Linked DNA regions of Ovis aries. The protein of the gene in region 2 purifies or fractionates together with the protein of the main gene of each other region. This does not show direct contact. Links are inferred from orthologs where the notes say so. Each region holds a gene or a part of one and is shown on either strand. Other genes may lie near its edges.

Region 1 (3,651 bases), on a different chromosome or scaffold from region 2:
CATTAAATGTCATTCTTGTTTGTGAGACAAAGTTAAGCAAAGTATAAGTGGAATCCTCTTTCATGTGGAATTAAACTTTATTTTCTATACATTTGTAGTCATTTACATGTGTGTATACACATCTATCTATAGATAGGTAATTTTGGTAACACTTTATGCATACTTTCACTGAAATAAACCTATTACTTAAAAATCCTCATAAAGTGTGGAGAGTATGACAAAAACACACAGTAACAAGAGAAAATAGTGCTGACTTCCACTGCTTATTTGCTTAACTGTTTTACAACTGCATTCTCAAAATATAAGCAAGAGAGGTGAATAACTTAAGTTTTTGCTGTCTGGGGACCTGATAAGAGATGAAGGAGAGATGCTAAGTTCACTGAACACCAAATGGGAATAATGAATCTTTCTACATAACATGCCCCACCTGTCAATAACTAGTTTGAGTTTTTCACTGCTTTGTTTATATTAATGCCCTCTCACCCTCCTGGGTGTCTCCAGAGTTAAACAAGCAGGTATTTACTGCCAACTTAGTCCTTTAAAAATATAGACCAAACTTTAAGGTTCTTACAATTTTCAATCATATTTATTTATTGCAGAAAAATAATGTACAAAGATATTTACAAAACAATCATAAAAATATGAATGCATTTAGACACCGGATCTATTTGCATTTTACCGTGGGTCATCAATAAATAAATAGAATGTTGTTTTTTGTTATTTTAAGTTTTTTTTTTTTCCCTCAGAGGAAGAATGAAAAAAGGAATTAACTGACTGTGATTTTGTGAGTCAGTTTGATTCCAGTATTTTTATTTCTAAAGGTGTTCTTAAAATTCCTCTGATCGTTACCATTTTAAAATGGAGAAAGTCCATAATGATGCCTTTCCTTTCAGTGGCTGATTGGCACGACCTCTTGAGAATGCATGCATGAAAAAATAAAAACATTCTTCGTCAAAAAAAAAAAAAACCAAAAAATAAAAAAAAAAAAGAGGAGGAACACAAACAACTGTTCAAACTTCTATCAGAATGTAGAGGTGTGAGGATGGTGCCGCTGCCCGTCTGGAAATCACTGTCCACGGGCCTGTCTCGCTTTCTCTTTTAAAAGTGCGCCCCACGCCCTGTTTCTTTGAATTTGGGTTCTGCTCTTCTAATTTCCAAGAAAATGTTTGGCAAATATATTTATTTTTAGTTATCCAGCTCCAGAGTCTCTAGACTGTCCATTTTCTCCTTCTCTGGAAACAATGACATCTGCAAAAACCCAGAGGGGGGGAAAGTTGGTTATTGTTTAGGTCTCTGTGGCTGTTTTGTAAAACTAGTGAGCACGGTTCTTATCACCACCACGGAGAAATTGCGCTGAACAACCTGGAAGGATTTCAGCCCAAGGGCAAGAGGAAGTGGGTGGGCGGAAAGACGGAGGAGGTGGAATTTGGAAACATTTGTTTTAAGGAGAACGAAAACTTAAAAGCCAAAAGAAAGAGAGGCGCTGGCAAGGCTGTCCTTACCCGTGACCCTCGAATCTTTTTCAGTCTTCCCTCCTGTCACGCACACTCACGCACACGCACACCCCTCACCAGGGCGCATCCTCCTCTCCCTAGCGGGGACTGAGCTCCCTTCCAGGAACGCGCGGGGGGATGAGGTGGCGGTGCCAGGTTGGGTGTGAAAGGGGAGTGGGAGACGGGGAGGAAGGCCAGGTGGACCGGGAGCCGCACCCCAGCCTTCAATCTGTCTGCCACCTGAGCGGCGACGGGGCGCAGAGGCGCCGGGTCCTTACCTAGGTCTCCGGCCCTGCCGAGGGGGTGGGGAGCTCCGCCTGCTAGTGGGACGCGGACATGGACCAGGCCCCCTCCATCCTCCAGACCGAGAAGGCGTAGCTGAGCCGCTCGTGGGCCACATAGCTGCAGCTTGCCATCTTGGAGTCCAGCTCGTCGCTCTGTAGGACCTGGTAGAGGAAGTCGATGTACCTGGCCGCCAACTTGAGGGTCTGGATCTTGCTCAGCTTGTCAGAGGGCAGCGTGGGGATGATCTTCCGCAGCGCGGCGAACGCCTCGTTCAGTGACTGCGTGCGCTGGCGCTCCCGCACGTTGGCCATGACCCGCTGCGTCTGCAGCTCCTCGTAGGACTGCGGACTCCCGCCGCCGCTGCTGCTGCCGCCGCCGCCCGCGCCGCCGCCGCCGCAGCCCGCAGACTTCTTGCCACGCTTGCCTTGGGCCGGGCTGCCAGGCTCCTCGCCGCCTCCGACGCCCCCGCCCGCGGCCCCGCCGGGCCCCGCGCCGCCCCCCGCGCTGCGCCGGCTGCTGCGCCGCTTGCGCCCCCCGCGCTTGCCGCTCGGGGGCTGCTGCCGGTCCGGCTCCTCCTCGCTGTTGCTCAGGCTGTCGTCGGCCGGCGAGACTGGCGAGCTGGACACGTCCTGCATCATCTCTTGGGCGGCGACGTGCGGCCTCGCGGGCCCGGGGCAGAAGGGCGGCCCGGGGAAGAGGAGGAGAGCGGGGCGCCTCAGCCCGCCAGCTTCCCCCGCGCGCGGCGCCGGCCCGGGCGGTGCGGCCCGCGGAGGAGGGAGCGGGAGGAGGGACAGGGAGGATCTCCGCGGGGAGGGCGCGCGGGGGAGGCGGGGAGGAAGGCGGGAGGGGGAGGGGACGGTGTGGATGGCCCCGAGGTCCAAAAAGAAGGCGCCCAACGGCCGCACGCACACCCCGCTCGGCCTCCTGGAAACGATGCCGGTGTCGGCGAGCCCGCGAGGTGTCTGGGAGCTGGGCGAAAGCTGCAGGCTTGGAGGCTCTTATACCTCCCGTGCAAGCGGAAAGTTTGGGGGCAGCAGTGTCATTGGCCTGACGTGGGGAGGAGGGACTTTTCGAAGTTTTATAGGAAAGTTTCCGCTTTCCAGCCCCCCTTTCTCCGTCCCCACCCCCCTTCCTCGGGGTCTAACAATTCGTCCTCCCAAACCATTCAAAAACGACCTGGCCCAGGCGGCCGGCCCCTCTGCCCGCCTCCTTGCTGCCCTCCCCCTTTCTTCCCCGCCGCCCTCCGCCCGCGGGCGCGGGGCGATTTCCTTCCGCGCCGAAGCGCGCGGGCCGCACCCCCGCACCCGGGCGCAGCCCGGGGAAGCGACCGGAGGGGACGGTCCCCGCCGCCTTGTCGGTCCCTCCTGGAGCGGCTGTGACAGCAGCGGCGACAACAGTTTCTACACAGTGGGTGGAAGTCTCAGCTCGCCCCAGTACGCTTTAGGTCCGTGGCGCGGTTTGGGATTGCTGGGGCGGGGGTTCTGGCAAGAATACCTGCGACAGCTGAGCCCACCCGATGGTCAGGTAAACCAGGCCCTGGAGTCCCAAGGGCCAAAACACCGTGGCTGGTCCTGAGGTCGTGGGCGTTTCTGAAGACGTGGCCGCGCCAGGGACTGTAGATCTGCTCCTCGGCCTGTTCTCTCATCCTTCCTCGAGAAGCAGCTGGGCCTTTCTTTTCCCTCCACAGTGACCCAATCTGACGTTTCCCAACACCCAAAGGACTACACCTCCGAAGGTGCTAGAAAAATGCAGAAGTTCATTCCCCCGAAGAAGGCAGTCCTGTTCTTGGAGAAGGCAGCAGGGCAGGAGGTGGCAGCGCAGTGTCTTCGCCGCGGCCCTGATTGCCTGTGCTGCTAGCCCAAGGTGGAGTGCC
Region 2 (3,741 bases):
GGGCACAGAGGGGATGACTGATACGTTGGGTGACTGGACGAAGTCAGAGCGACTCTTGCAGGTCACCCCTCCCCACCTCTCCTTTCCTCCTCACAGGCCCACCCCCCTCCCCTTCATGCGGCTCCCTGACCACTCACGGTTGTCAAAGATGGGATGAGAGAGGACAGGCGCCAGGCGGAGGGGCCTGCCTGCCGGGTCCCGCACTGTCACCTGGAAGCAGAGCCGCACGGCATTCAGGTCGTAGTCCCCACGCTGCTCTTCTATGGGAACTGTCAGAAAAACCGATGGTCAGGAGAGCCTGGGCTGGGGGTGGGGCTGGGGCGGAGCAGGGTGTGCGGGTAGCTCTGGGCTGGGAGGGCTGTTGGAAGGTGTGTGAAATAGCAGGAGTCCTAGAAGAGGGTGGTGGGAATGTTCTAGACCCATCACTGACTCCACCTGTGACCCTGAATGTCCTGTCCCCTACACCCCTGCTCTCAGTCTGTTTCTCCAATGGTAGAATGTACTGAACAGGTGTATGTAATGAATGGGCACCGCATCTTGGCCGGTGAGGGACACGTGACGGGAAGGTGGCCTCAGAAGGGTACAGCAGCTGGAGGTGCTCCAGGCAGGCCCAAGCCTCCACCGTGGCCGCCCTCACCTTGGAAGGGGTTGTTGTTGGTCTGGATGCGCTGGCTGATGGCCTGCTCCAAGTCCCGCTTCTTTACACACTGGATCCCCAGGTTCTGAAAGCTGAGGCCCCCCGAGGCATAAGCTCCACTGTCTCCAGCAGAGCCTGGGCCCTCCTGCCTTACCCACTCTGCCCCTTATCCCCTCCCCCACTCACCAGGTAATCATTCTATTCTTAACCCCCTTAAATGCCACCCCACCCAACTGTGCCACACTGAAAGCGACTCCTTACTTTGGCTGACAAGGCCCTGTGCCCTGCCGCCTGGCCCCAGCCACAGTCCCTGCCAGCTCCCTACCCTCTGCCCCAGGGCTTTCTTTTACCCTCTCCAAAGACATGACACTCATTCGTATTTCAAAGCCTTTTGCACCTGTTCATTCTGCTGGGCATGTTCCTTCCCTGCTTCTCTACTTTCTCACATTTAGGTCTTACTTTCGAGAAGCCTTTCTGACGTCCCAGCCCAAAGGAGTGGGACCAGCTCCTTCACTCCCTGCCACCTCAGGCTATTCTTCCAACCTATTACTGCTTCATTTTCATCACTGAAATGGTGATTTCTAACAGTATCTTGTTCAGTTATTTGTACATTTATTTATGGTCTGCCTCTGTCAACCAGTACATAAGCTTCAGGGGAGACCGTTGGTTCAATGGCTTTCATTCTGACTACAAGAGATGTGACACTCCAGCCCCAGGGGTTAGGGGTTCAGGGGTGATTAGGGACCCACACCTTTGCCATAGAACTCACAGGGTGCTCCTCCTATCCACTGGAGAGAGGAGACACACAGACAATTTCAAAACAAAAGAATCAGCTTGCAAAGCTGGAGAGGGAGCAAGCAGTGAGGAATTCTGCCCTCTGTCCAGAAACGATTAACATTGTAACAGCAATATAACTTGCCTGCTTTTCCGATTCCCATCTCATCACCACCTTCTTCCACCCCCTGCCACCCCTAAGGAGCTCACCTGTGGATGCAGCGGTCCGGGCAGAGCTCAGCCTCATAGAAGCCATCCCGGCAGTCTTTCCCCACTAGCTCGTGAGGGTGAGGCCGGTGAGGAGGGTCCTTGGTGACCAGGGAGATGCGGACTGTCCCTGGCCCCGTGTAGCCATTGATCTGTCCAAAGTACAGAGAGCACCCTAGAGGGCTGGAATTCCAGACCCAACTCCCAGACACAGATTTCGGGATGGGGGGGTGGGGGCTGAAAGCAAGTCCCAGCCCTACTGACTCTGGGTCCCCCGCCCTGGGGCTCTGCTGACCTTGATAGTGGGGTGGGTCTTGGTGGTGTCTGTGCTCCTCTCGCCAGGGATGCTGCCGGCTGAGCGGCCCTCGCACTTGTAGCGGAAGCGCATGCCCCGCTGCTTGGGCTGCTCAATGATCTCCACATAGGGGCCAGAGGCCTGCACAGGCTCTGCAGGGGACACGCGGGCCAGGCCCATCAGCCACTGACCCCATCGCCCCTGACCCTGGGGAGCTCCTCCCGACCCACTGAGAAAGGATGGGCCACTTACCTTCGGAGAAGATGATGGGGAAGAAGTCTGAAAGGAGAGGGAGACAAGGGTCAGCAGGAGCCCACATCCTGTCCTCATCAGGGAAGGCCTGCTTCCCGGAGGTGAGGAGAGGGAGCCAGGCTCCTTCTCGGGGACACTCAGTCAGACCTGCTACCTGGAACCTTCAGGGAAACTTGGGGTGTGCGTAAGGAAGCCAGAAGCACCGTTTTCCTGAGGGAAACCAGAGATGGCCGCCTCCCTCCACCAGGGGAAACTGAGTCACGGCCTTTTCTGTTTTAAGTTACACTAAGGGAGGGCACTCCCCCATCCCGAGAGGAAACTGAGTCAGATACATTCTCCCCTAACAAGGAAACTAAGGTGGAACTGCCCAAGCCCCACTCCCGGGTCCCGGGGGGATACTGAGTTAACGCTTCCCCCAACACCCCACACCCAGGGGGAAACTGAGTCAGAACCCTCGATGCCCGCCCCGCCCCGCGCCACCATCCGGCCGGCCGCTCCCTGCGCAGCGCCCAACAGCGAACGAAGGGTCGGAAGGCGGTGAGGGGCCTCCCGCCGCGATCCCCGCGGCCCCAGCGCCGCCACCCCGCGGGGTCAGGGGGCGCCCTCACCGTCCATGGCCGGGGTCCCGGGGGCGGGGCCGGGGTCGCAGCTGGGCCCGCGGCGCGCGCTACTGTCGAGCCATTCGCCAGAGGCGGAAATGCGCCGCGCGCGCCCGCCGTCGCGTCACTGCCGGGAATCCGACCGCGCCTGCGCGATGCGTCTCCGTCGCCCTCGTCGCTGCTGCGGGTGCCGCCGCCACCGGGAGAGGTTCAGGGGCGAACGCGCGCTGCGCGGAGGATGGGCAGGCCGCGTGCAGGGTGGATAGGCTGCTTGTGCCGGCGACCCGGAGCTAGTGCGCGCCGCGCGGGGCACCGACAGGCGGCTCTCCCGGAGGCCGCTCCCGGGGCTGGCGGGGCAGCTCGGCTCGCTCCCGAGTCTGGGCCCCGCCTGGAGGGCGGGGCCTCCGATTACTCACTATGTTTTTAGGGGATTTCGGGGGCCACCTCCCGCCTATCGGAGGAGTTTGGTGATGTCACCCCGAGCCGGTCTGGAGCCAAGCTAGGGCTGCCGGGCTTCGACCGCCCGCCCCGCGCAGGAAAGGCTCCGGCCTGCTTCGCCCGCCAAGGCCAGGTGGCTCAACTCTTCACGGTTTCCTAGTCAATAAGAGTGCTTCTTGATGGTTATTGCCGCACAAGCACTTTTTAATTTCCTGTCCACCCCAGTCTGGATGCAACGAGGAAAAAGAGAAGTGGCCTGGACCTCTCCACCTGGCACTACTCGGACCGTGGCCTTCGCGGAGCCTGCTGCACGTCAGCGTGATCAGAGGCTCCGCTCCGCTTCCGCTCGCGCAGTACCCGCAGGCTCGTCGGTTTAAGATCTTCCACACTGCCGACCCTCGGGGCCAGTGGGTGGAGAGGGGTAGTCACCCGGGGGTAAATCTCTGGAGCTTGTCTCTGCAACCTGACACCTCTGTTCCGTTTGAACTCCCTTACCCGCCCCTCCTCCCCACGCCTGCCTCCCATGGCTTCCTGCTGGG
Region 3 (3,741 bases), on a different chromosome or scaffold from region 2:
ACTGTGCTATAGTGGCTCAGACGGTAAAGCATCTGCCTGCAATGTGGGAGACCCAGGTTCAATCCTTGCATTGGGAAGATCCCCTGGAGAAGGAAATGGCAACCTACTCCAGCATTCTTGCCTGGAGAATCCCATGGACAGAGGAGTCTGGTGGGCCACAGTCCATGGGGTAGTAAAGAGTTGGACAGGTCTGAGGGCGGAGCCTGGTGGGCTGCCGTCTATGGGGTCTCAGAGTCAGATACGACTGAAGCGACTTAGCAGCCGCAGAGCGACTGAAACTGTTTCAGTTGCATAGCCTATTAGGAGTGCCACAGACAGGAATGTCTCCGAGCCCTAACCACGCGGCCTGCGGGCGTGTGGGCACAGGCACCCTGTACTGCGTCCCCCAGTCTCCACAACACACCTGAGGGGTGGGGGCAGCCAGCCTTGACCTCTCTGCAGCGGAGGAGGTGTGAGCTGGCTACACTTATAATTCTGATTATACCAGCTTGTGAGTGTCTTCCCTGGGCTCAGCCCAAGCTCGGGTATGGATTATGTAGAGGGGGAAAAAACGCCACGCTGCTCTCAGGGGACCCAGGGACGGGGGCAGAGAAGGGTGTGCCAGGGAACCTTCGAAAGACCACAGGTGTGCTTGGGCATTACAGTGGAGGACACTCGGAGTCTGAAAAAGTAAACAGCCGTGGAGCCATGGGAAAACCCTCGGAGTCGGCCTGGGAGCCGGCAGATGGAGCGGATGGAGAAACAGGGCAGGAAAGGGCCAGCTCCCTCCTGCCTTCTACCCTAAGAGCAGTTCTTACACCTCGGAGAGGGGATGCGGGCTCTGGAATCTCGCTGGTGGGCTGGGTACCTCGCCGGGCTCAGTTCCTGGAAGGCCGCCCTTTTCCCGGTGCTCGGCGTGGCAGCCGGCCTGCAGCCCAGGGGTCCGGGCCCACGCTCGGGGCTAACACTCGGGGTCGTCTCTCTGGCCACTTCTTTTCCTTCCGTCAGGAGCGAAATAGAGGCCGTTTGACCCCTCTCCTTGTCCGCGCCTGACTCGCTGAAAGCTCCCGCGACACGAGCCGATGAGGCTGCTGGGACAGGCCAGGAACCGCGGGTGGAGCGGCCGCAGGACCCGGGCGGGTGGGGACCCTGCGTGGCCAAGGTCCGCGCGGCAGGCAGGGTCCAGATCTCCTCGGGGGCGGGGCCTGGCGGCTCGGCGAGGGCGGGACCCAGCTGCCCGCGGGGCGGGGCCTGCCGGCTCGGCGGGAGGCGGGTCAGGCTCTCCGTGGGGGCGGGGTCTTGCGGCTCGGCGAGGGCGGGGGCACGCTGTCCGTGGGGGCGGGGTCTTGCGGCTCGGCGAGGGCGGGGGCACGCCGTCTGCGGGGGGCGGGGCCAGCCTCTCGGCGGGGGCGGGAGCACGCTGTCCGCGGGGGGCGGGGCCAGCCTCTCGGCGGGGGCGGGGGCACGCTGTCCGCGGGGGGCGGGGCCAGCCTCTCGGCGGGGGCGGGAGCACGCTGTCCGCGGGGGGCGGGGCCAGCCTCTCGGCGCGGGGCGGGCCCGGGATCTCCGCGGAGGGCGGGGCGCGCCGGGAAAAGTTCCGGGAAGGTGGGCCGCCCCACTGCTCCCCCGGCCCAGACCCGGCACGGAAGTTGCCGGCGGTCCGCGCCTCCGGGACGGGTCCGCAGCCATGTCGTCCGGGGATGCGGAGTCCGGGGGGCGGGAGGGCGCCCCGAGCGCGGCTGCCGCGCTTTGCGGCCTGTACCACGAGGCGGGGCAGCGGCTGAAGCGCCTGCAAGACCAGCTGGCGGCCCGGGACGCCCTCATCGCGCGCCTCCGCGCCCGGCTCGCCGCGCTCGAGGGGGACACGGCGCCGTCGCTCGTGGACGCGCTGCTGGAGCAGGTGGCGCGCTTCCGGGAGCAGCTGCGGCAGCGGGACGGCGGCGCCGCGGAGGCCGCGCTGCGCCAGGTGCGGGGCGGCGGGGCCGGGCTTCCCGGGGGCTTCCCGGGGGCTCCCGGGGGCGCGTGTGCCCGTCGGGCGTGAGGCGTGCGTGGTCTGCCGCGGCGGAGCCGCTGCGTGTGGGGTTCTGGGCGGTGCGCGCCGCGAGGGGTGTAAGGGCTGAGCGTCGAGCCGGGCTCTGCCGTGCGTGTGCGCCTTGGCTCAGGGGCTGTGCGTGCGTGTGCTGGCTTTTGAGGCGTCTGAGCCTTGCTGCGTCTGAAGGAGTGTGTCTCGCTCCCTCAGGTTCTGAGAGGTGTGTGTGCCAGTTAGTCTGGGGGCCGTGTGACCCTGTCGGTTGGGAGGGGTTTGTCCTCTCTGACGATATGGGATGGATGTCGAGGTGGGTCTGAGGGCTGTGTGCGTGTTGGTGTGTGTGCGGCGTTACCCTGTGGGGCCTGAGGGGCGTGTCTGTCCCAGCGTCGGGTCTGAGGGGTGGTTGCGACCATGTTGGGTGCTTCGTGCTGTGTGTGTGTGTGTGTGTGTGCGTGTCATTTCTCAGGTGAGTGTGCGTTGGCTTCTGGGGGGTGTGTGTGGCTTTGCTGAGTCTGGCGGTTGTGTGTCCCGAAGGTTCTGAGGAGTGTGTGTGCCCATGTTGTGGTGTGCTTGCGCGGCGCGTGGGCTCTATGGGATCTGCGCTCCTCTTAAGGGTTGTGTGGTTCTGAGGGTTTGTACGTTCGGTTGTGCTGAGCCGTCTGCTCCCTGGTTGGCTTCTGAGGGATGTGTGTGTCTGTGTGGTTCTGAGGCTTGCCCCTGTTGGGATCCGCCCATTTTGGTCCTGAAGGGTACGTGTGTCTGTGCTGGTTTTGAGGAGTGTGTGTTTCTGTGTTGGGTTCTGGAGGATTCTGCTCGGAGAGGTTGTGTGCCTCTTAGATCTGAGGGTTGTTGCGTCGCTGCTGGCTCTCGGGTGTGTGTCAGGCTCGTTATCTGCTCCCATGTTGGGGCTGAGGACTGTGTCTCCCCGGGCTCCGTTCTGAGAGGTGTTGGTGCTCCTATCGATTCTAGAGGCTGTGTGTCTGTAGCAGCTCTGAGTGGTGTGTGTGTGGGTTTGGGGTGCTGGGTGTGTTTACCCCTACTGGGTCTGAGATGTGTGTGTGCGCCTGTGCAGAGTCTGGGGGTGTGTCTGCGCCCGTGGTGGGTTCTGAAGGGTGATGGTCCCTGGCTGTGGTGAGGGCTGTGTGCCTGTGTTGTGTCTGAGGGTTACGTGCGCCCATATGAATTCTAAGGAGTGTGTGGTTGCATTGTTTTTAATTAGCTTGTTTACAGTTTATTTTTAATCGGAGGATAATTGCTTCTGCCATAGGTCACGCGAGTCAGCCGTGGGGACACTTATGTCCCCTGCCTCCTGCCCCACCCCATCCCCCTCTCTAGGTTGTTACAGAGCGTTGAATGGGAGCTGTGTCATACAGCAGCTTCCCATCGTGAAACAGTGGCTGTCTGTCTACACACAGTGATGTCTGTGCTGCTCTGAATCCATCCCGCTCTCCTTCCCGCTTTGTGTTGGTTGTGAGGTGTATTTGTACATGCTGGTGTCTGAGCGGTGTGCCTGGAGTCTGCGGCTTGTGAGTCTGTCCTGAAGGGTTTGTTCCTATGTTGGGTTTTGATGGTTGTGTGTGTCCGTGTTGTGTCTGATGGGTGTGTGCTCATGGTGGGTCTGAGGGTTGTGTGTCCGTGTTGTGTCTGTCTCGGGAGTCTGCCTGTCTGTGTTGGGGGTGAGGGCTGTGCGTGCTGGCTCTGAAGGGCGTCTGCGTTTGCTGGGTTCTGGGTGG

What was found.
Region 1: the proteins of RELA (region 2) and TWIST1 purify together in Homo sapiens (affinity purification with western blotting; 3 studies listed by BioGRID and IntAct, with this or other methods). This does not show direct contact. The link is inferred for Ovis aries from reciprocal best matches to the Homo sapiens genes RELA and TWIST1.
Region 3: the proteins of RELA (region 2) and TNIP2 purify together in Homo sapiens (affinity purification with mass spectrometry; 4 studies listed by BioGRID and IntAct, with this or other methods). This does not show direct contact. The link is inferred for Ovis aries from reciprocal best matches to the Homo sapiens genes RELA and TNIP2.

Annotation. Positions count from the first base shown.
Region 1 is NC_056057.1:28,776,121-28,779,771, forward strand, and holds TWIST1 (twist-related protein 1), read right to left. Parts: upstream 2,750-3,651; 5' UTR 2,417-2,749; coding exon 1,814-2,416; 3' UTR 1,772-1,813; intron 1,249-1,771; 3' UTR 565-1,248; downstream 1-564. UniProt on the Homo sapiens protein: Acts as a transcriptional regulator. Inhibits myogenesis by sequestrating E proteins, inhibiting trans-activation by MEF2, and inhibiting DNA-binding by MYOD1 through physical interaction. This interaction probably involves the basic domains of both proteins.
Region 2 is NC_056074.1:40,279,443-40,283,183, forward strand, and holds the start of RELA (transcription factor p65), read right to left. Parts: upstream 2,865-3,741; 5' UTR 2,781-2,864; coding exon 2,774-2,780; intron 2,193-2,773; coding exon 2,166-2,192; intron 2,066-2,165; coding exon 1,914-2,065; intron 1,771-1,913; coding exon 1,622-1,770; intron 730-1,621; coding exon 638-729; intron 270-637; coding exon 138-269; intron 1-137. UniProt on the Homo sapiens protein: NF-kappa-B is a pleiotropic transcription factor present in almost all cell types and is the endpoint of a series of signal transduction events that are initiated by a vast array of stimuli related to many biological processes such as inflammation, immunity, differentiation, cell growth, tumorigenesis and apoptosis.
Region 3 is NC_056059.1:116,696,284-116,700,024, forward strand, and holds the start of TNIP2 (TNFAIP3-interacting protein 2), read left to right. Parts: upstream 1-1,556; 5' UTR 1,557-1,666; coding exon 1,667-1,945; intron 1,946-3,741. UniProt on the Homo sapiens protein: Inhibits NF-kappa-B activation by blocking the interaction of RIPK1 with its downstream effector NEMO/IKBKG.